4 linked regions of the Neodiprion lecontei genome follow. The main gene of each other region encodes a partner of the protein of the gene in region 4 in a complex. Links are inferred from orthologs where the notes say so. Each region holds a gene or a part of one and is shown on either strand. Other genes may lie near its edges.

Region 1 (5,039 bases), on a different chromosome or scaffold from region 4:
ACAACGTTAGCGCCACGTAGAGGAACTAAAAAACGGGAACAAATCGCATACAATTTTTTGTAGTGGGTGTATAGCTATAAAACGAAGAAGAAGAAAAAGAATTTTATAGTGTATGTTTATGTGTATATAATTTTTATATACACATATTTTAACCTATATCATTATGTAAATCTCTATACCGGTTACTGATAAATAAATTGTATTGATATGTTAAAAGGAATCCCGGTGCAGACTTGCAAAAAAATGCGCGTGAAAGGGACAACCTTTGATCTTCAAAGTTCAAAAGAGCAACTTTAGTTCTATTTACTGGCTGTATTTATAATGTACTGAATATTTTTACGTAGACAAATTTTCATAAGTATTATCGTAACTATAAGACTGACGCTTAGTACAATTACGTACATATCAGTATTTTCATGAGTAAGTGAGGGGTTTAAAAATAAAATGAGAACCAATGATAAGTTATGAGTAAAATATGTATTCTAATGTTAACTGTTTGTACAGATTAAATTCAATTTTATTAAATATTTGGAGTATATTCATTCTAAAATCAATTAGTCTTTACAATTAAATTAACTTGATATACATATATTTTGATTAAATGAATAACCGTTCGATTAGAGCTTCGCGTATTGCAAAACCCTCTCCAGGCTGCCAATGCGGTGCTTGAAGTGGCAATTCATCCGCTTCTTCTTCCTCGATGCGATTATCTTCCGGAAGAGCATTATCCAATGTTAGTGATAAATTGTGTAGTACGGCACAAGCTACAACAATTGTGGTAGAGCACAACAATTTGGTTCCCAAACCTCGGGATAGGCAAGGAAAACGTCGCTTCCAAACTCCAAATGTTCTTTCAACAATTTGCCTTGTTCTGCTTTGTACGTTGTTATACCTATCAAGATACCGACTTGGTTAATTCACACATGTATACTTTGTCAATTTTATGACTACTTATCGAAATCTAAAGTAATGCGATAATCTTTATCTTACCTTTGTTGAGCATCTGTAATTGGATTTGCCAGTGGAGTCAGCAGAAATGGCAAGCACGGATAGCCGGCATCTCCAACCAGGGTTCCAGTAAGTTGTCTCTCATGATACCGCATGTAAATTCGTGAATTTTGGAATATTTGACTGTCATGGTTACTTCCAGGCCATTCCGGAACCACATCCAAGAATTCCATATTGGGTCCGACAACTGCCTGTGGTATCATTTAAATTAAAAGTACCGATTTTCATAGAATAGTATTGTTTATTTGTATCCTAGATAAAATTAATTGCAACTTATGGTATTTGTAAACGGTTATCACCAACGCGACATACCTGTACATTGAGGGAAAAATATCCCTTACGATTCCTATAAACCTCCTGCAGGTCTGCAAATTTCGTATGACATAATCGAATGTGAGTGCAGTCGATAGCGCCATCAACGCCAGGTAAACCGATACCCTCCCTGCGTGCACCAAGTTGTCTGAATAGATCTCTGTTTGCGATCATAGCAGCTTCCGTACTAGGAAATTTGATAATTGCGTGAATCAATGATGCAATTTGAGCCGATACTCTGTGTATTATCCTCGATACTGTAGACTGCGATATAGTCATCAGATCTCCGTTGACGAGCTGTACAGTACAAAATGTATTAGCAATCATTTATTCCATGATCACAGGAAGCAATGAAATCACTTTATATTTTCAGTAGAATATCAGGAATTATAATCACAATGATCCTTACTTGAAAGCTAGCGGTAGCGTAAAATCGTAGACATATTAATAATTGCATGACAGGTGGAATTGGTAGACCACGATTATTGGCACTGACTAAGGCAGCTTCAATTCTAGGTAGTATTCCGTACATAATACCATCCTTTGAAAATCGGAATCGCCGTTTGAACTCCTGCTCGGAATAAAACTCGAACGGGTTTTGACCATCTCTGATGTATCTCTTCGGAGCTCGCTGTACTTCACCCTCGTCTTCGTCATTCGGCCCAACGTTGACCATTGAACAATCATATTATTCATTTCTTCGATCTGATCGTAGAAATTAAACATATCTTGCATATTCGCCATGTCAGTAGAATTTCACTATTCACTTCACTTCACAAATTTTTCAAAGCGAATGCTCTCATAACCTCTACTTCAATTGCAAGTTTCCGTTGCTACCCTTTTACAGTAAATAATCCCGTCCCAGCTGCACTTTCCCAAACATTCCTTCACAATCTATTCCTGTTAATTTATATTGTTCGAATATAATATTTTCCAAACAATTCGTAATTATCAATTTCGTACGCATCAGAACAATTGAGTAATATTTAGGCAACAAGCATTTGCTTAAGTGCAGTCCGAACTCGACTTGATCAAGATACGTAAATAAGACTGCGTTAATTGACTATGAAACGTTGCGTGCTCAAGACCATGCTTATTTCAAATAAGACTGGACTATGCAACCTTGTAAGCACGCTTCGAATAAGACCGACTTGATGAAGACCGTCTTATTTGCCGCGTCTCAAGACCGTCTTGTTTGACGTCTATGGAACCAAACGCCATCTTAAGGCCTCGTATAAGACCGTCTTATTCGAGTCCGGTCTTAAGCACTGACTATGAATACCGGCCCAAGATACGTAAATAAGACTGCGTTAATTGACTATGAAACGTTGCGTGCTCAAGACCATGCTTATTTCAAATAAGACTGGACTATGCAACCTTGTAAGCACGCTTCAAATAAGACCGACTTGATGAAGACCGTCTTATTTGCCGCGTCTCAAGACCGTCTTGTTTGACGTCTATGGAACCAAACGCCATCTTAAGGCCTCGTATAAGACCGTCTTATTCGAGTCCGGTCTTAAGCACTGACTATGAATACCGGCCTAAGTTAATGAGCGCTTGCCTTTTACGTCAATTTTCTGACAAAACACGACACTGACTAATTTCATTGGCCTATTCTGCTAGATCCGACTGACGACAGCACCGAGTGCGTTCCGATATTTAGATCCATGTGCTTGTTGTAACGGTGGTTTTACCACGTGCATTCCGTGTGTGACGAACACACCTACTTTGGTTCCTCCCCACTACCGCCTCTAGAGGCAAAGTTCGGTAGTCATCGACGAATAGCGTGTAATACTCATAGATGGTGATACTTGACACGAGAAATAGCGAATGCAGAGAGTTGTGTCAACCCAGTGTAACGTCCGACCGGAACGTCCGTATGTTTTATCGACTATTATTACTGCATGTTACTTTTATCAACTAACCAAACTCGAAGTACGAGAATCTTGTAACCATAAGAAATTAAAACAACTGTCTAACTATTTGGAATATCCCTAGATGGAAATAACTATGAAATTCACTAGCCAAGGCTTAAAAACCATGTTACGAGATCTTCGTACCACAGAGAACTATAATACTATTATACGTTATTATATATCACTATCATATTAACACTATAATTAACTAACACAATTATACCCAATTATTATATAGCACTCAACAATGCCATTTGTGCATTCGGAGCTGAGAGCTATACTTAAGCAACATACGCTTTACTATATAGCCTGGAGTATAGAAGACTGTAAAACCATAGATAAATGCATAACCAATATAATGTAAAGATAGCACTGCTGCAATAACCCATAAAACCAGAGACTGCAAAACCATCAAACCGTGAATGCTAATTACCCAGCATGAACTATACCTTCTTTCGCAACGCCGTATTGTAGGCAACACGCGCAACGTTTTGAAGGCAATGCAGATCTCCAATGTGGAGCCAACAGAGCTTCACCTAGAGAATACATTAGGAAACTTACCGACGAAACGAAAACGTTCTAGAAGCTTCCAAGCCGATTTATATCAATATAAGAATTAACAACTACAGAAGGGAATCATATACAAAAGCACACATGTAAACCTGCTCTAAAGCTATGAATCATCAAATTACTAAGTACCCTAAATCTGTTAAGATAGTTATAACACAAACAACTAAAGATATTCGCAGCAGCGTGATTCTAATAATGCTAAACAAATAACAAACTATGTTCATAAACAATTGCTATTGTACTCCAGATTAACAACGACAGTAGTCGACTTTAATACATATGCAATTCTATATAGATACAACTATAAAACTAACAACGACAGTAGTCGACTATAATACATATACAATTCTATATAGATATAACTATAAAACTAACAAACGACAGGTAACCAAAATGAAATATGGGCTTTGTAACGAGCAAGATAGCAAAAACATTCAGAGGTAGACAGGTAGTTAAGTGGCTGACGGGCGCCACAAAGGGGCTGGCGCCACAAAGGGGGCTGGCGCCACAAAGGGGGCTGGCGCCACAAAGGGGGCTGGCGCCTCAACGAAAAGCTCACGCAGTTCAGAGAACTACGGAACAAAGTCCACGCACCTACACCACCGCACCAAGCAGCGATATACCATACGTAAAAACCTACAATATAGTAATAGCTAAAGAACTAAGATCACAGGCGTGCATGCGGCGAAGATGTCGTGCCCTAATTAGAATTCCTAGAAAAGAGGGGAGGTGCGCAAAGGCGACCAAAAAACTAGAGAGGGGGATCGTTCTGCGCAACGATCGACCCCTATAAAAACGGCGACCGATCACTCGATCGCTCTCTTGTGTTTCTACCTCCAGATTCGTCATCTAGTTCCGGTACAGTCTCGCGGTAAAATCCTTTAGCCTTTTGCATTAAAACTTTCATACAACGTTACTCTGCCCAAAAGTTCAGCGAGCTTCAACTCCATTTTTACTAAGTCTAAGATCTTACACTGTGTAACTCTGCGTTTGTGACTTTTAAATATCAAACTTATAAAATAAACCAAGTTAGTCAAAATATCCAAATATTAAAGTCAGTTATTCCACTAAGACCTCTCACCAATCTACAAGTCATCGCATCCAGAATACTCTCAAAAAGGTAAGCCAAATTAAATCTTTTATCCAACAATTTCTCCCTCTTCGGTTCGTTCGACTAGAGCGACAGAATGCCCGTTGTCCGGTGTATTTCAATACTTAATCGGTAATTGGTGA
Region 2 (5,982 bases), on a different chromosome or scaffold from region 4:
TCTACCTCCGATCTTGACTGCAGGCTTGTCATTAATGGCTCGCAAAATACTCATTTTTCTCTGCAGTTGATCTGGACTGCAATGTAAGCTCTCCTCTCGAAATTGACGCATGCTGGCGCGTTGCAGCATGCGCTAAGAACGATATTTGATTAGAAAATAACTAGGTGTAACGATCTCGAAAGAGCCCACCATGATTTATTCGAATTCAACGAGGACGTGCGATTGCTATGACCCTTCGGTCTCAGCATTAGGCTTTCGACTACTCTTTGATAGTGTGCGGTTACTTTTGATTCTACATACCCGCGTGAACGGATCCTGTGTCGAGTCCATCCCAGACGAAACAACAACGCAACAGCGAAACACTCTTCACCGAGGATCACCAAAGAATGGTAAATTGTCTTGAAAATGCGGCAGCTCTCAGCGTTAGCGGAGTAGTTTTATTTGCACGAGCGAAATACTCTAGGAAGATAAGGAGAATAACCTCGCTAGGCCCCATGAGTCAACCGTCATCCCCTCAAGTTCAAATACATTTATTGGTATTCGAAGAGTACACTATTACGTGTAGATATAACCAAAACACGCTGCTGTATGTCAACATGCGTTAGAGGTAGATCTGGTACTATTGTGCAACACTGACCGCGAAATATGACACATGGACTGTAGCAGTTTGTGAAAACTTTTTAGAATGAATCAGTTCTTAACGATGAATGAAAAAATTTTTTTTGTTGTACAGATATTCATAAGTGAACGTGTATTTTTTCAACGAATCTCAGTGTGAAGTAATTATTTGGAATATTTATGAACAACTCGTATTATACTCAAGTCGCTGTATATAACATGAATTTTAGTGAATGTTACTTTCGAATTAAATTATTTAATTACCTTTCTCTGGTTCGATTCGGAGTCTTTGAAGAATCGAATTGACCAACTAGCCTGATAATTCCCTGATTTTGCATTTATATTCATAATAATTTTCCATGTCTCTATACAAGTGCATTTGTTGTGATGATTCAGAACTACGATGTTAGTCATAAATTATTGGTTTATTTTCTTTAGTCCGTATATGATATTGTGATATTGGAACTACAAAAGAATACGAGTTTAAGTGTTGATATCGAGCCAATACAACTTACTGATTTTACACGTTGGAGCAAACTAATTGAAAATATATTTTCCATCGTCGATGAATACAAAATCCATTTCAATTCATCATATTGAATCAACCATCTTCATTTTGCTCCTATATTTGAAAAGGCTTACTTTGATTTTGGAATCAATAGTCCGAAAAATCTTGAACCACTGTTCAAGACAATTACGTGAACAGAGAAATGTATGTTTTGTAAGAATAGCCGAATGAACAGTTTTATCGGAATTTACTAAATATTCGATTTAGCCGATAGATGAAAACAAGAGATTAACAAAGCTTCGAAAGTTTTTTCAAGTACTCATTTCTGGTTTATCTTTGAATCGAGCTGTTGGTAGAGCTAAAAAATTGTTTTAGATGGAAGTAACAAATTTTTTAAGTAAATGTTTCATGCGGACGTGTAATTTTGTGTTGCGCCTGCATATAGGCAACTGCGAGTATAAATCTCTGAAATGAAGGGCGGGTAACTGATTCGCGTAAAGCTAGGCGAAAGTATCCCATCTCAACTTGGCGTATTCTATCACGATCCTAACCTCAATCTTAAGTTTTCCTCATCCGAAATCATAACCTGTAATCTTAAAACTAGTTTTCCGTTGGAATAGGAGTAGAGTTGCAAGTACGCCAGAGGCGGAAAAAACAGCGGCGTGGTTTGTTAATATTAAATCCAAGTGATTGTTGATGATAGAGTAGAAAATGTTTGAAGCCCATAGTATAAATGCCGAACACAAGGACCTGATACATGACATAGCTTACGATTTTTATGGCCAACGCATGGCAACATGTTCCAGCGACCAGTTTGTCAAAGTGAGTAGAGCTTCCAACCGAATTTCGAATTTCTCGCTCATTTCACGCATATTCTCAACTTCATTCGCATAATCACATATTTTCTTCTCTACTCCTTCACTTTGCCAAAATTGATATTACAGCAGTATTCTCGTTCACGCTTTCATTTTGTTATGTTTTTTTCTTAGGTTTGGGACGAGGACGAACACGATAACTGGCACTTGACAGCATCATGGAAAGCACACAGCGGATCTGTGTGGAAAGTAACCTGGGCGCATCCCGAGTTTGGTCAGGTTTTGGCGACGTGTTCATTTGATAGAACTGCAGCGGTCTGGGAAGAAATTGGTATAAATTTCTGATCTTGGATTGGAAAACGATAAGCAGCAGAGCATTTGTATTGATTGTACGAATCAAATTTCAGTTGGCGAAGGTTCAGGCTCCGGTGAACGAGGGATGCGACATTGGGTGCGGCGGACCAACTTGGTCGACTCTCGGACGTCAGTAACAGATGTTAAGTTTGCGCCAAAGACTCTCGGTCTTCTCCTTGCGACCTGTAGCGCGGATGGAGTGATCAGAATTTACGAAGCACCAGATGTGATGAACCTGAGCCAGTGGACTCTGCAGCATGAAATTAGCTGTAAACTTCCATGCAGTTGTTTAACATGGAATCCTTCATTGTCGCGGTATATATAGTCAAAATTTTCTTCAATATTGCTGGAACTGAACACCTAAAAAATAAGGGGAAGTGCAGTGCTTTTCCTTTTTTTTCAGGCTCCACCCACCTATGCTCGCAGTTGGCAGCGACGACTCGAATGCATCAAGTGGCGGCAAGGTCTTCATATACGAATACTCAGAAAACAATAGACGGTGGACAAAAACAGAGACATTATCCAACGTCGTTGACCCCGTGCACGATATTGCATTCGCACCCAACTTGGGACGTAGTTTTCACACTTTAGCGATAGCCACCAAAGATGTACGGATTGTAACGCTAAAACCAATGCAGTAAGTTTCGCTAAAAGTGGGAAGAAATTGTTTTTAAGAAAATACTCTCGCATGATGATTGGCATTGAAAAATTCAAAAAAATTGCTCCTCAAGTGTTCTTTTTTCTCCTCAGAGATGCGGCTCAAAGCGGTTTGTCTCGGTTTGAAATTACGACTGCTGCCCAATTTGATGATCACTATTGTACGGTGTGGCGAGTGTGCTGGAACATAATGGGAACCATATTAGCGAGTTCAGGAGATGACGGCTGCGTTCGTTTATGGAAAGATAATTACGTGAATAATTGGAAATGTGTAGCAGTTTTGAAGGGAGATGGAACCTCGGCTCACAGTGCCGAAATTCCACAGATAGCAACACCTCCGAGTCACTCGATCTCAGGAACTCAGGCACCGCTATCCACCACAAGGTACTACAAGCTGGGTTCCATCAGTCATCCTAATCAAGTACCATGGCACTAATTGAGAACGATTAATATTTCCGTTTTGAATTATGTAATATAATTTATACATCATTACTTTTCTCTCACATTTGATCGATTGAGAACAGATTAGCGAGTAACGATTTGTGATCTTAAAATTTTCACCGCTTTACGTAATCATCCTTTCTTTTTCTCGTATCTCCTCATCAATTTTTTAGCAACAGATTTGATCATAAAGAATTGAAGAAATAAATCAATAGTCAATACGTCGTAAAAACGATCTGTTTGGATTAAATCACTTCTGTATTAAAATGGAGAAGTCTCTTTTCTCTTCCCCTTGTTTACGCACAGTTTTACACCAAAGTATTTAATTTATTTGAGATGTATAAAAATATCATTTTACACTTTACGTCAATAAGTTCCTTTACATCAGATCATAATGTCCGTTCTCAGTTTTGGAGCCATGTAAGTTTATCACAATTATTTAGCATTTAATGCATTCGATATTTGTATTGTAATGTGAGCCCAGTTTTTAATAAATATTATTCCTATAGACCCGAGCACCTTTTTATTTTCTCCTGTAACCCATCTTGCAATTTCTTTATTTTTCCTAAAACAGACGGCCAAATTTACTTACATCGAAATTTAGGAACGGGTGAGAGGGATAACATTTATTATAACCGTTGAATGTAAATTAAATCCATGAATTCTACATATCTGCGAATTTAAGACAAGTTACCAAACACTTAAAATCTGGACGAAGTAGGTAACTTACACATTTGAAGTTTAAATTTCAGAAGAAGATTTCAAAGTTTCGTCATTTATGATTCGTTTCATAATTCGATGTATCTTTTTGTCGTTTCAGGAATATATCTATAGCCACGGTTACGGCGGAGAGACCAACGACGACAATATTATCGACTAGTAAGTGGCAAGCCCCTGTAATAAAAGGCCGTTTCAGCAAGTCTGTATGGCTTGGAAATCCAAGCGAACCGTCACTCCCCCCTCCTCCGATCATAGAACGCCCAAAATCGAAGAAGTAAATTTTTAAATGTGTCTTTCGTGCGAGTCATTGATAACTTACTACGTTTGCTAATTAATTGGTCGATTTGACAACGGAGCAGATTAATTATACTTTAGTAAAATTTTACTAATTTATCGACTGATTTATACACGCAGACTGGATTTCTGTCGCCTTAAGAGCTTCGGATAAATGTGATATTTAAAATGATATTATATCATACTTGGTTACGACGATATGAGACAATCGTTATACTTGAAATATCTTTATTGAAACAAATAATACTAATGATAATTTTTTAATTAACTCACCGTACTCGTACGTTAATATTTGACATTTTGAAACAGTATTAGACACTACTGTGTATTTATACTTATTGGAATTTTATACTTTTGTTGCTTAGAAGAAGAAAAAAAAACAGAACAATTCTCATTCGCTGGCAATACAAAATAACAGGATTACAATCGAATAACTCACATGTATATGATAGACAATGATCGCTGCAGGATATATTTGTTGAGTATTTGTTCAAAGTATAATATTGCAGTATTAAGGAAAGCAAAATTTTTTCAATGGCTTTTAGCAGCTGTATAAAAATCGTATAATCATTAGGGTATACCGCATACGGTATTAACTTTTATTTCCTTTCGGTGATACTTTCTTACCTAATACGTATAATTAAACCCATTTTTTATTCATTTAGCTCCAGCGATATTATATTATACTCAGTCGGTTACTTATTTTTTCCATTCAAAAACAACTAAATTCCTATCTTTTCTTGTATAGACATGTTTATGTATATGTATAGGTATATTGTTCAAAAACTCGCGTTGTACTTATAATATGAAAATAAATTTTCTTTGGTATACTCGGTTAGGAAAATATTTGTCATTGTCTCTCGTTCCTTCCGATTCTGTTTTTATTTCACTTTCTTTTTAATGGATTGCCGAAGAACATGACGCAGTTATTCAAACGCTATCAATTTATTCATTTTCTATACCTATGTACACGTGTTCTGCGTCGTTAAATTTTCCATCCTTCCAACACTTGAGTTTCTTCGAGATGAGAAGTGCATACACAATTAATATAGACCTATGTATAATAAATACCGTATAAACAACGTTGGTGAATGTCCAAATGAAATAATATGTAAATTGAGTCAATTTTAGTATTTTTTTTTTTCTTGTCAATTTCATAAATCTTTACAGAATTCAAGCAATAATCTCTATGTACAATTATCAGTTCACGAGCTCGGAAGCAAATTGAAAACACTTGGCATTTCGAATTCAACATTTTTAAATTCTCGTATCTTCTACTCAGATGCTGCCAATCAAAAATTGAATCGCAACTCATGATTTCTATTACCAATATAACAAAGAGAAAAAAAAAAAAAAATGTAGAAAAATATAAAGTTTTTTCCTTAACCATACTTTTGCTCAGACAATTTAATTCGAATTTTCGATGTCTAATTTACTTCCAATATTCTGTATTTTTTTTATTCTAGCTTGAGTTTCTTCACATTATTGCGATGAATAAAAAAAAAACATCATTAGGTCCTGTTTATCCAAACAGGAAGTCACGCTAGACCTACAACAATAGATCAAAGAAAACAT
Region 3 (7,251 bases), on a different chromosome or scaffold from region 4:
GTATCTCTTATTTCAGATAAATCCTAGCGGAACAAGTATGGAGTTAAAAACCAGTGACAATATGATTATCACAGTTTCTCTTTCGGAACCCATCGACAGCCACCTAGAAGGTTACATCGAAGTTCATGGTACTGTACAGTCTAAGTCATCCATCTCCTGTAGCAACTTCGTTCGCTTCCCAAATGAGATGACGGAAAAATTTGGTAAATTATCACAGATACATCATTTCTTAGAATCTACTCCTGATGTATGTCTATGCTATTGTATATGATTTTGCTTGACGTTATTTTATCTTTTGGCATTGAAAAAGTACAATGGAAATTCTCTAGTTGTTCATAACTTGAAAAAAAGAATATAAGTTGAAATTTTTTCAGACTCGGAACAGTACAATGACCTCATCTTACTCTCCAATACATTGGGTAGCAACAAATGGAAAATGTCTGAAACGAATACCATTTTATGAAATTTTAACTTTCTCACGCCCTACTAATATAAATTTTCTTTTTCGCTGTCAAGTATATCACCTTCAACACATTCGAATATTCTGACTTTTTTCAGTATACTTCGCTGAAGTTGAAGCTCAATCTTTAAGGCTTAGAAATGTTCTAAATGATAATTAAGTGAAAGAAATAAGTATAATTGGTGAACGAAATACTATTAAATAATCGTTTATTACAATTTAAAATTATGGTAGAAAGATTATACAACCCCAACTCCGATCTTGCAAGATGCATCTAGTGAAAAGCATCTGCACGTACAAGATGTTACAGGGCATTCCGAATGCTCTCTGAAATATAATTTGTCTGTTTAGAGCAATGCAAAAAAAACTTTCTCTCTAAAATTCCACTCCATGCATTTTGTTCGATGTAATAAATGATTGGAACCACGTGTGCCACTCACCGATTTTGATGAATAAACTGATTTTTTCAATGTACAACAATTCAACTAAATTTACATTGTAAAAATTCACCTAAACCAGTGCGTGATGTGGTTGGCGTGTCCACCATGTCTGCACGTTTGACACCAAGTAAACCAACTACTAAATTCCGTTAGTTTACTATCCTCCTCCCCTCTATTTGGTGTGGTCCCTCCTGTTTGTAAACCACTGGCTGTACCCATGTGCATGAGACAGATCGCACAGCGGGGTAGAGGTTTGCGACAGCTAGGACACGAAGACATCTACAAAGAAATCACAAGCCACGTTGGTTTTTGCAAGAAATTTACGGGGATTACACAAACACCGAAATTGTGAACTAAACTTTTACCTTCAATTTGTTGGACGTACTCCCAAGCCTGGCAAATGGTCCTCTAGCTCTGCTTAACCCCTGCATATAAGCCGAAATACTTTTGCCACAGAAATTGCAAGATATGTATACTTGTTGTGGAGGTTTCTCATTCGTTGAAGTTCGCATCGCTATATCAAAATGTGCTCTTTGATTCCACATTTTCCAAGCATCCAAAAGCGTTCTATAGCTGCAGAACAGTTGATTCTGGTTAGGCGATTCATTATTCTCTAACAAAAAGTCGTATTTTCTTCGTGTTACTAACTACAAGATAGACTACCTTGCAATCCAAACTTGAACTTGATTGTCCTGAAGCAATTTCGGTGACAGAGCTCGAATGGCGATTAGGCTGCAACTTTGGACATCACCAGTGATTTCTAAGTACCTATTTAGTAACTGTATCCCGTCTGAACTAGCCCCTGAAGTGGCACATACAGTTCAAAGCATTTTAAATTTAGTTTTTTGAAATTAATTTTCAACACTCGTTTAATTACTAACCAGTAATCAGAATCCCGGCTAAGTTACCGTCATCAGTTAATTTTTGAGTCAATTTTTTGAAATATTCATGTAATTTACTATCAGATAGAAACATGAGCGCAAATGCCACTCTATCCTCAACAGCCATTCCATTCTCATTCTGAAAACATAGATTAGTGACGATTATTACAGACGAATGAAACTTTTCCACATCTATCCATTTCATTTTTGCAGTGAGAAATATTCAGTAATTCATCATAAAAGATTCTACGGTCATCTAACAAATAAATCGTAAAAATTACTTTACTCACCAAAACATTTTCATACGAATCATTGTCAGCAGTGAGGAATGCAAATGTTGCTCTGAGATATGGGTCAGTTAATTGAGATCTAGATTTTAAGCAAAGCTCCCGCCACATACTATTTCTATCTTCAGAGAAGCCTGACAAAGCCATAGCAACGATATTTAAATTTGTTGCTAGTGACATTTTGTCCGCCCCTCTATTCAATATTTCTATGGCTTGCCTCAGTCCAAGATTGAAAACAGAGATGGCTGCAGCTCTAGGATAAGCTCCTTCCCTCTCTAGTCTTTCCAAAAATGCATTATTATAAGGCGCGTTCGTTTCTTTATCAAATCTCCAACCACACAATTGAAGTGCTTTATCTCGGTCAGGTGACCTGTGATAAACATTTATTTTTGGCAAATCAAAGATACTTATTGTTAGCATAATAGAGGATATTGTTCGATGAATCATTTCGTTGATAAAGAATATTTTTGTTTTTGTACTTCATAAGCTTAAAGTGTATCGAGCAAACACATAATTCATATTTTCGGAATTATGACACCTGGTTTTTCTTTACCTGTATATTTTAGCACTGTGATTTGACCCAATGTCAGCCCACAGTCGAAGCACTAATTCAGACTTAATGAAACCGTTAGTAGAAGTCGGCTGTCCATCAAGTTTCAGAACAGTTCTATGGAGAGTTACAAAGTAATTATCAGAGCATCTAACAGTACGGCTATAAGCCAAAGAAAATATCAGTTTACCTGACACCTGGGTGCTTATTGTCTGGACTACATATTGTTCCATCTTCCACTAAAGAACGACTCAAATACAGCCATTGCCATAAATTTTTCAGGGTCTCATTTTCAGCTAGCTCTCCATTTTGCGATAGTTCGGCCTTAGTGAAAAATATAATTAATTATTACAATTTTAAATATATCAGAATTAATTCTCTTAAATCGTTCTATATGAAGATTTGTAGTTTTAACAAGTCCATGTTACAATCATCCTATACTAACCAGAAGGCCGTAGTCTCGCATGGCTCGACTTTTCGTTTGCAGTGAAATATCGTTCAAGGATTTGTATATGTTGTCGGTGCTATAAATGTATTTGAATGATTTTGAAGCATGGTTCCATGCTAGATATGACTTAGTTGACCAGTTGATAGTAATTCTTTCAAAAACAGTGTAGTCCGTCAAACCTGAAATATGCAAATAACTTAGGAATAGTAATGATGTATAATTATAAGCTGCATTAGTTCTAAATCGAGCATTACACCTAGCTTGAAAGAAAACGAAACTGTACAATAGACTTATATTTGCGACCATGTATGGAAAATTCGTCCCCTCGTACTCCATGGTAATACGTAAGAGATACGAAAACAAAAAAAAATCAACTGCACACACCTTGTTGCGATATAGCCAACAATCTATTCGCGTGAGTCGGATGCCATGAAAAACTTGTAGGACTAGACCATGGTGGGGCGACAGTTCTTTCTAAAGCGCCTGGCTCTGTTTCCTCGCCGCCACCAAGCCCACAATGCTGTACATCGTGAAGATGCAAAGATCCTGTGTGGTCAATGATTAATGAAAATACATTTCACCATTAATGAACAAGTTGAACCACTTTGTTTCATTTAGCAATTTAAGTATGATAAATCTCACTGTACCAGAGTCTTTCTGCAGAGATCCCAGCAGGTTATGCCTTGAAGGACACCATAGTACTTTAGTCACTTGTCTGCTCTGCGGTAGGGTTAATATCGGTTTTTCAAAGTAACGAGTGTCCCATATAAGAATTTGATTTTCAATATGGGAAACTAAGTGATAATTGTTATGAGGATCTACTGACAAACTGTACACTGCTTTTGTTGGCGTTGAGTTCACTACCTTCACACAATCTAAACAGATGATTAATACAAAAAGATGTTTGAATCAACACAAATAAAAGGCAGAAGTTCCAATTATCCTTCATTGGCAATAAATTAATTAATAACCACCAGTACCATAATGTCTTACCTCGAAAATCAATAATCTTTAAATGTTTGTTATTGATTCCAACAACCAAACATCTTGGTTCGTTAAGGAACCAAGCGAGGGAATGTGCTGTTTCAGAGACTCCAGCCTCTGCTATAGGTCTGACAGATTCTGCCTGCATGTTACTGTGGTGATGCGATCCAGTTGGACTTTTCAGGACATCCCATAATAAAACGGAAGAATCCGTTCTGTGCTTATCCAAGCCACAAATTATTAAATTTGGGTCTACCGGATTCCATGCAACCGTATTGCATTGCCTTGCATGCCTCGGAGCTAGCAAAGTGATCACGGATATGATTAGAAGAAAAAAGCAAGCTAAAATATTATACCGTATAACTTAAAAAGAGAAGAAAATGAATACAACTTCCAGAACAATTATTGGTGAATTTCATTTACCAAGTTCCTTGCCAGTAAGTCCAAGAGAGTCGAATGCCGTTGGGCCAAAAGTAGTTAGTACAACTTTACCATTCGCTTGCCCAACTGCCAATAGAATGTCAGGCTCAGGTTGGGTGTAAATATCAATGCATTTAACATAGTGATGGTTTGTGTTCGTTGCCAATAAATGGGCGACTGTAGAGTCAGAGATCTTAATACCTGCAAATAATTCTTTTGTTAATAAAATATAAACACCCAACAAAGCGATATTCAAGAAATAACAACAATACGTGTTTTGTAATAGGCTTTGGGTCTCTACTCACAAGAAGGCCTGACACTATCTTTGATTTGGGTAACTTCGTATAAACATATTTCGGTGCCCCAAGTAATGAATTTATTTGGGTGTATCGATGACCACTGAACTTCTAACTTAACGCTACTCATTGTCAAATAATATTGTAGGTTAATTTAAAATCCGTGTACTACCAGGTCGTGTTGTTTACATTAGTAAAATATGTTTCTCCGATAATTAATGATGTAAAAACTAAACCTCTATCACCGGCGGAACATTTGTTTTCCGACAGTAAATTGTGGCGGCTATTGCACGTCCAAAATTGGTTCCATTATACGTTTGAACAATCCGATAAATAGCGTAAAAAAACAATCACAGTGAATCTACCGATTTCGGGACAACATAGCCTCAACGCAATTTGTTGCGCCGTATTTGTCCATTAGCGCATCCAAATAGCGATCTGCGCGTGCGCGAAACTATTTCGCAAGCGAAAAGTCGTTTTCGAAAAGTGATAATTCTGCTAGTGAAGAGCGGTGAAGAAAATTTGAATCAAATATTTTACTTCACCACAACATCTGAAAGTAGTTAACTGTGAGCATATTCTGTGGGATAATCAATAGCTTTGAATTTTGGGAAAGCACCGAAACTGAGTCGGTGACAGATCGAGTGACAGAAGCAGACGACTTTCAACACTCAGCAGCGCCATGTGTTGGCGCTTTAACGGCTCGATAAAGAACCAGCGCGTGACGGATCACGGATGCGAGCGTTCGATACGTCGGGCTTTGCGATTGACCGATTTTTGAAGGTAATTAATCATTTTTCTGTTGTTATTTTTGCAATCATACCCCCAAGAGATTCGCCGATTAAACCTGCATCCGTAAAATAACGGTACACTTTCATAAATTGGAAACATTGCCATATATGAAACACGAATATTGACTTCCTCTGGTAACTAGCACCCGACAGCGCGGCAACGCCTTTTGGTTATTCATCCTACGAATACGCCCTTAATCTTGATGTTTTATTGTGAGATCGAAGTAATTTCCAAGTCTGTACTAATTGGTGTTAAATGCGTAATAATGGTTTCAACAAATTTGATGCAGTAACTATTTTCAAACAACAATGTCACATTGTTACAACTAAACCTCATTACAATGTTTCATTTTTCCGTCAAGATTAAAGTCGATTAGATACGCGTATCAACAATGTATTATTTGTAAACTTTCTAATAGATGACCATTATTTAACAGTATGTCGTAATATCGTAGTTGTGGTTTGATTGTTTTTACATATATTCATAGTTAAATATTACACAATTGACAGCGATAAAATTGGTAAAATTTCCATTTACATCTCAGAGGAGAAGACAGGAAAATTTTCAGTGTCCTAATTAATCAACATTAAGAAAATTCCCATATTTTACATAAATGTAAAGTCTTTATTTATTAGTAGAAAAATTATCAAACACAACAACAATAATGAGTGTTGAGTGCATGCGAGAAACGTAAACATTTGTTCACCTTACTCCCATGGTTCCCATGCTGACAATAGGATTTCCATATCTTTCAGATCTCTATTATAGTAATGGAGGCGTAGTTCATGTAGCTTATAAAGTATTGAGTTTTTTCCTCCAGATAATGAGAAATTCTGTTCTACATGCGCGTAATCAATCAACAATTACATATTATTAAATGTGCAAATTTCAGTCATTTACATTCTGATATTAATATTTCAGATATAAATTCCACATACAAAAATGTCTAAAAAACCAGGCGCCACACAGGCCCTTCATAAGGTCATAATGGTAGGTAGCGGAGGTGTTGGAAAGTCCGCCCTGACTCTACAGTTCATGTACGACGAGGTATGTGGGTGATTTCTTCAGCCCCTTATCAGGCTATCATTCAAACTTTAATTAGATTTGAAGAAGTACAAGGTTCAGTTGATTTCAGTCATTTGGAACGAATGTATAACACTGTGTAATGTAAATAGGTTACTATTCAACTTAACAATCGAAAGAAACTGTTTTGTATCGATTTTTATAATGCCAAACATGAATACGTTGGCGGGAACTTTATCTGAAATGACATTTTTGAGAGTGTTGGTCAGCATAGAGTAACAAACACTTCGTTGCAGTCCTTTTCTGAATAACATGATAGTAGTACCAATCATGATAAGAAAACTTTCCATCCAGCAATGAACCCCAGCTTTCTGACGGCTGGGAAATAGTTTGGAATATTTTAAAGTAACAATCAAGTAGCTGTGGATATTGTTTACTTGATCTTTTAGGGTATAAATTTTGTTTTCACTTTCACTTTCCCATAATTTTGTGTTAAGAAAGGCCAAAAAAGGGTTGATAAATTTCTTTTAGACCTTATGATCCAATTTCCTCAAAATCATTGTGTGATTGTCAGTTGCTAATAACGAAGTTGAAACATAATCTATTTTTGTTATAGACTGCAAGTAATCAATAGTTTCACAGCACAAATGATCCTATCTTGTTGCACAAT
Region 4 (4,651 bases):
TCAGAGCTTGAAGTACCGAGATCCACATTGGACTCTACCGGTGATTCCGAATTGTTGTCAGCAACGAAAATATTCGCATTTTCGCTTATTAAATACTGCACTTCTGACCACGTTTGTGATTTGTATATCGGCACGCGAAAGTGCGCACCTGCAGCTGATCTCAGCACTTTCGGATTCCAAAGATCCACGCAGCCTAAAATTAACAGGTTTAAACATAAAGTGAATTTGAGCACAGCTTCGATTGTAGATTGGAACGAAACAATCAAGTTCATTTCTTCGGGTACGGACCTTTGGTTAAAATTACTCTCTCGCATCCGACTCCAGCCGCAACCCGAAGAATAGCTCCCAAGTTTCCGGGCTCTCTTACATTGTCGCATATCACAGTTATTGGTAACGCATCGGGAGAAGGTTCCTTGTTACTTACATCGGGAGCTACGAATATACCTAAACGAGAATCCCAGATTGTTAGTCGAGCGTTAGCCAGATGAAAACAAAATGGAAGTATTGGCAACTTACCCATAATGCCTGGGGAAACAGTCAAATCTGACCATAGCTGTATCGTTTGATATGGAAGTTTGTAAAGCTTGACACCATCTTTGGGTAGAGATATTTTGGCAATGTCAGATTTTCTGCTGAAGATAATTATCTCAGGCATACATCCGGCTTTTATGGCATCCTCGATCAATCTAAATCCCTCCAGCAGAATTCTGTTGTCATCCTTATCTTTTTTACGCGATCTTACGACTTGCATTAAAGAGCTGTAACGGCGAGTAAATTGTGAATCACAAACAAAGGCTAGAAGATAAAAAGTTATGTCTAAAACGAGATCAAGTCCAGTTGATCCGCAATGCGTACCTTATTATGGGATCGTCCCTGTCGAGTTTAGTGAAAATCGGAGTCCCGTCATTGTTCAACGTGGCACCTTCCCTCTGCTCTTCTTGAATCTTTGCGTTTTCTTTCTTGTCTTCGGCCAGCTTGAGCCGTTGTCGTCGGGCAAATGCAAACTGGGCGGTCTGCAGAATATTTTGAGGAACGGTGTGCTCCTGATCGTTGTACAGATCTTTCTCGTTAACAATTTTTGATGGCTTGCGATGAGTCCACCGACTGTAGCCTTTGACTCGTAAAAACACTTGAGCGCTAATCTGCCGCTGAGTTATTGTACTTTGAAGACACCTCATGGTGCTTTGCATTGTTGTAAACGTAAATGCCATTTTCATAACATGTGTGTGTGTCTTTCTTCTTTTCTACCGCTACACTTTCAGCGTTGATTCTAATAATTAGCTGACCGGTGTTACAATCAGCATTGAAATTATTTGAAAGAGCAACTTCAGTCCGTAATATATCCGGCACTTGTTTTTTGAATGACGCAATCGTAACTCAATTGTTTTTGCCCGTGATATGCAAAACGCCGGTTTTGAGGTTAAGCTGGAGCTCTTGTAGCAACATGCGTGCCGCCACACACCACACCATAAAAATTAAAGGAGCGTATGTGTTTTGCTTTGAAAACAGGTTAGTATCGTGGTTAATATGCAGATTGCGAATTGCGACACGTGACCGGATTCGTGAATCGTAGAGAGCAACAGAGATATTTACGCAAGCGTCGTCGTCAATCGTTCAGTCGGGAGCGTGTGTCGATTGTTTTGACACGTAAAGTGCGCTGTGTGTCGTCCAAGATGAACGTGGAGGTCGCGAAGTGAGCCGCGAGACAATGCTTAGTTAACAGTAGTTCGTTTAGTTTAATATTGTTTCTCAGTTCTGGACTCTGTGATTGCTAATCGCCGGTTTCGACACTCATCTTGGAAGACAATGGATCAATGGATAAATAATGCAGGCTGAAAATATATCCCCCTCGAACATAGCTGTCGATGAGCCTGCGGAGGTCAGGTGACCTCTTAACCCAGTGATAAATTAAACCATCGTTGTTGATGATCAGCAGCTTAAAATGAAGCTGTTCAAGTTGATCGTTCATCAGAAGAACTTTAGTGGGGAGGATTTGATTATAAATCCCAAAGATTATCCGGGAATAAAGAAAGGCGATATCGTTGAGATATTTCATCCGGAAGATGAATTCAGTCGTTTGCTTCTGCAGATCACCGCCTTCAAGGAGGATCTACAAGGCAGAGAAACCGTCAGTGTTGAAAATAACATTGCGACCACTTTTCAACTTAGAACATTCGCTGATGTTTACATGAATATTGTCAATCCCGACGATGTCGCCTTGGATTCTGTCGAGCTTACCTTCAAGGACCAATATATGGGGCGTAGTGAGATGTGGAGATTGAAAAATTGTCTGGTAATTAAAAGTCTGACTCTTTTATTGTGTATCGATAAAGTTTCCCACTAAACAAACTCCCATCTCATCGAACTTTGATTTAAAATCTTAATTTCTCTAGGTCAACACGTGCGTGTATTTAAATAAGAAGATCGAATTCTGCGGAGGAAGCATTAGGTGCCAAGTACACGAAATGTGGTCCCAGGGGGATCGAGTTGCCTGTGGCGTGATAACTGACGATACAAAGGTGAAATATCTGTAACAATTTGCTAAATCTGGCCAAGGATACAATCAAAAAGCTCTTAATTTTATAGCAATAATCGAGCTATTAAACTTGAATTCGACGAATCAATCGACATAGCTTTAACATTGATAACAATGTTCTAAATCATTGTCTTCACAATAGGTGGTCTTCCGTTCGTCGACAAGCATGGTATACCTGTTTATCCAAATGAGTTCCGAAATGTGGGACTTTGATATTCATGGAGACTTGTATTTTGAGAAAGCAGTAAATGGGTTTTTAGCTGATCTTTTTCAAAAGTGGAAGAAAAACGGTAGCAACCATGAAGTGACGATAGTTTTATTCTCACGAACATTTTATAACGCGACAAGCCTTGAAGAATTTCCCAATCACATGAGAGAGTGCTTGCAGCACGATTATCGGGGTAGATTCTACGAAGATTTTTATAGGTAATGCAAATATCAATGGCATCCACCACAAAATGCTCAATCTTAAACATCTCCAACGTGTGTTATAGAGTTGCTGTACAAAATGAGAGATACGAAGACTGGAGCAATATATTAGTTCAATTGCGAAAACTGTTTACCGATTATCAAAAAATTGTCCTCGAATATCACCAACGGCCTGGAATTGTTATGCCAAAAGCCATAAACTCAACAGCTGCTCAAGGGAATTTCTTAGAAGTTCTGAATATGTCCTTGAACGGTGAGCGATAGTTGATACTATTGACTAATAACCTGTAGATGTGTGGAAATTGAATAGCAATTTATTTCTTTCGCAAGAAGTTTATATTACGAAATTATTATGCAATGTGATGTACGATATTGTGATATGCTTTCTTTTTTAGTTTTCGAAAAACACTACCTGGATCGCAGTTTTGATCGAACCGGGCAGCTTTCTGTGGTTATCACTCCGGGGGTTGGAGTATTCGAAGTTGATAGAGAATTGACCAACGTTACTAAACAAAGAATCATTGATAATGGTGTGGGTAGTGACTTGGTTTGCGTGGGAGAACAGCCGCTGCACGCAGTTCCTTTGTTAAAGGTACTGTTCCATTATGTTGAAATCTTGAAACCAGAGTTCTTGTGTTAATTCTATTATCACATAAGAATATTTTATTATAAGACAAAATTCTTGTAGTTCCATAACAAAGATACGTCGATAAATGCTGCAGACGACTACAGCATGCCGCATTGGATAAATCTCAGTTTCTATTCGACAAACAAAAAAATACCTTACTCAACCTTCATACCTCGCATCAAGTTACCACCTAAAATATCAAAACCACCGTCAGAGTGTGGAAAATTGCCAAACAAGACAAAGCTTCTGCAGGAAGATGGCAGCGAATGTCTGCGTAATACACTGTTCGACTATGATGCCTACGATGCTCAGGTTTTCCAGTTACCACCTGTTCATACTGCTAGGTGAAACTATTTTTTTAACAATTAGTTTATAATAATTTAAATTAATTTGAAGACTTGTATTTTGTATTAAACTCGATTTGTTATTTTTTATAAATTTGTAATCTAGCTTGCAGAGAGTATCGACTAGAACAAAGAAAACTAGTGTAGCCTGCATGGAAACGCACAGCAATTCCCAGGCTCTTAAATTGTTGAAAAGAAAGATGTCGGATCCTGATATACATCATCCACCTCCCGATACTCATTCTTCCCCAACGGTTGCCTCCCGCAGTGCAGCAATTTCGATTCCTCATCGAGCGGACGATTTGATAAGTGTCAACTCTAACGGAGAAGTTAATTGTAAGATGGTATAGTTGTTACATGTCAAGTACAGAGCTAAATCGATACAATTTTCCATAGCAAAACCAAGAATATCTTTAATTGATGACCATGGAGATGTGGAGATATCACCTCCGTTCAGACCAGTCGTCGGTAGTGCTGGAAGTCCTACCAATTCCGTTACTCAACCCAACAACATTAGGCCAGGAAGAGCTCTGATCAATCCATTTGACCCGTCTCACGTAACGATAAAGTTGACAAGTAACAGGCGAAGATGGACTCACATTTTTCCGAAAGGTGGAGTATCGCGACTGCATTTACTCCGTAAGTATTTTCTTGCAATAATTTCGCGTGTCATATTTCTCAGGACCTACGGGTGTGCTTATACAACAACACCAC

Evidence for each region.
Region 1: GATOR complex protein Iml1 (region 4) and GATOR complex protein NPRL2 share a complex: the UniProt entries of both Drosophila melanogaster proteins name them as parts of the GATOR complex. The link is inferred for Neodiprion lecontei from reciprocal best matches to the Drosophila melanogaster genes Iml1 and Nprl2.
Region 2: GATOR complex protein Iml1 (region 4) and nucleoporin SEH1-A share a complex: the UniProt entries of both Drosophila melanogaster proteins name them as parts of the GATOR complex. The link is inferred for Neodiprion lecontei from reciprocal best matches to the Drosophila melanogaster genes Iml1 and Nup44A.
Region 3: GATOR complex protein Iml1 (region 4) and GATOR complex protein MIOS share a complex: the UniProt entries of both Drosophila melanogaster proteins name them as parts of the GATOR complex. The link is inferred for Neodiprion lecontei from reciprocal best matches to the Drosophila melanogaster genes Iml1 and mio.

The regions. Positions count from the first base shown.
Region 1 is NC_060264.1:242,724-247,762, reverse strand, and holds the start of GATOR complex protein NPRL2, read right to left. Parts: upstream 3,044-5,039; 5' UTR 2,919-3,043; intron 2,841-2,918; exon of another isoform or gene 1,997-2,840; coding exon of another isoform or gene 1,730-1,996; intron 1,618-1,729; coding exon of another isoform or gene 1,321-1,617; intron 1,200-1,320; coding exon of another isoform or gene 991-1,199; intron 893-990; coding exon of another isoform or gene 598-892; exon of another isoform or gene 218-597; intron 1-217. Other genes in the region: putative nuclease HARBI1, read right to left, coding at 598-892, 991-1,199, 1,321-1,617, 1,730-1,996. UniProt on the Drosophila melanogaster protein: An essential component of the GATOR subcomplex GATOR1 which functions as an inhibitor of the amino acid-sensing branch of the TORC1 signaling pathway.
Region 2 is NC_060260.1:39,269,442-39,275,423, forward strand, and holds nucleoporin SEH1-A, read left to right. Parts: upstream 1-1,663; 5' UTR 1,664-1,837; coding exon 1,838-1,948; intron 1,949-2,115; coding exon 2,116-2,272; intron 2,273-2,348; coding exon 2,349-2,610; intron 2,611-2,698; coding exon 2,699-2,932; intron 2,933-3,045; coding exon 3,046-3,336; coding exon of another isoform or gene 3,337-3,388; exon of another isoform or gene 3,389-3,903; intron 3,904-4,213; coding exon 4,214-4,391; 3' UTR 4,392-5,481; downstream 5,482-5,982. Other genes in the region: anillin-like protein 1, read right to left, coding at 6-132, 301-330. UniProt on the Drosophila melanogaster protein: Probable component of the nuclear pore complex (NPC). Involved in maintaining the localization of another nucleoporin Mgtor to the nuclear envelope of early meiotic female germline cells.
Region 3 is NC_060261.1:40,160,274-40,167,524, reverse strand, and holds GATOR complex protein MIOS, read right to left. Parts: upstream 5,267-7,251; 5' UTR 4,897-5,266; coding exon 4,776-4,896; intron 4,672-4,775; coding exon 4,474-4,671; intron 4,351-4,473; coding exon 4,060-4,350; intron 3,942-4,059; coding exon 3,714-3,941; intron 3,613-3,713; coding exon 3,451-3,612; intron 3,246-3,450; coding exon 3,064-3,245; intron 2,943-3,063; coding exon 2,809-2,942; intron 2,736-2,808; coding exon 2,622-2,735; intron 2,439-2,621; coding exon 2,072-2,438; intron 1,921-2,071; coding exon 1,782-1,920; intron 1,703-1,781; coding exon 1,564-1,702; intron 1,474-1,563; coding exon 1,266-1,473; intron 1,180-1,265; coding exon 971-1,179; intron 935-970; exon of another isoform or gene 788-934; coding exon 700-787; 3' UTR 516-699; downstream 1-515. Other genes in the region: replication protein A 14 kDa subunit, read left to right, coding at 17-203, 375-463; ras-related protein Ral-a, read left to right, coding at 6,501-6,605. UniProt on the Drosophila melanogaster protein: An essential component of the GATOR subcomplex GATOR2 which functions as an activator of the amino acid-sensing branch of the mTORC1 signaling pathway.
Region 4 is NC_060263.1:5,519,325-5,523,975, reverse strand, and holds the start of GATOR complex protein Iml1, read left to right. Parts: upstream 1-1,640; 5' UTR 1,641-1,942; coding exon 1,943-2,293; intron 2,294-2,393; coding exon 2,394-2,519; intron 2,520-2,678; coding exon 2,679-2,962; intron 2,963-3,030; coding exon 3,031-3,218; intron 3,219-3,360; coding exon 3,361-3,557; intron 3,558-3,653; coding exon 3,654-3,937; intron 3,938-4,043; coding exon 4,044-4,273; intron 4,274-4,333; coding exon 4,334-4,549; intron 4,550-4,619; coding exon 4,620-4,651. Other genes in the region: rRNA methyltransferase 3, mitochondrial, read right to left, coding at 1-193, 289-444, 517-758, 856-1,217. UniProt on the Drosophila melanogaster protein: An essential component of the GATOR subcomplex GATOR1 which functions as an inhibitor of the amino acid-sensing branch of the TORC1 signaling pathway.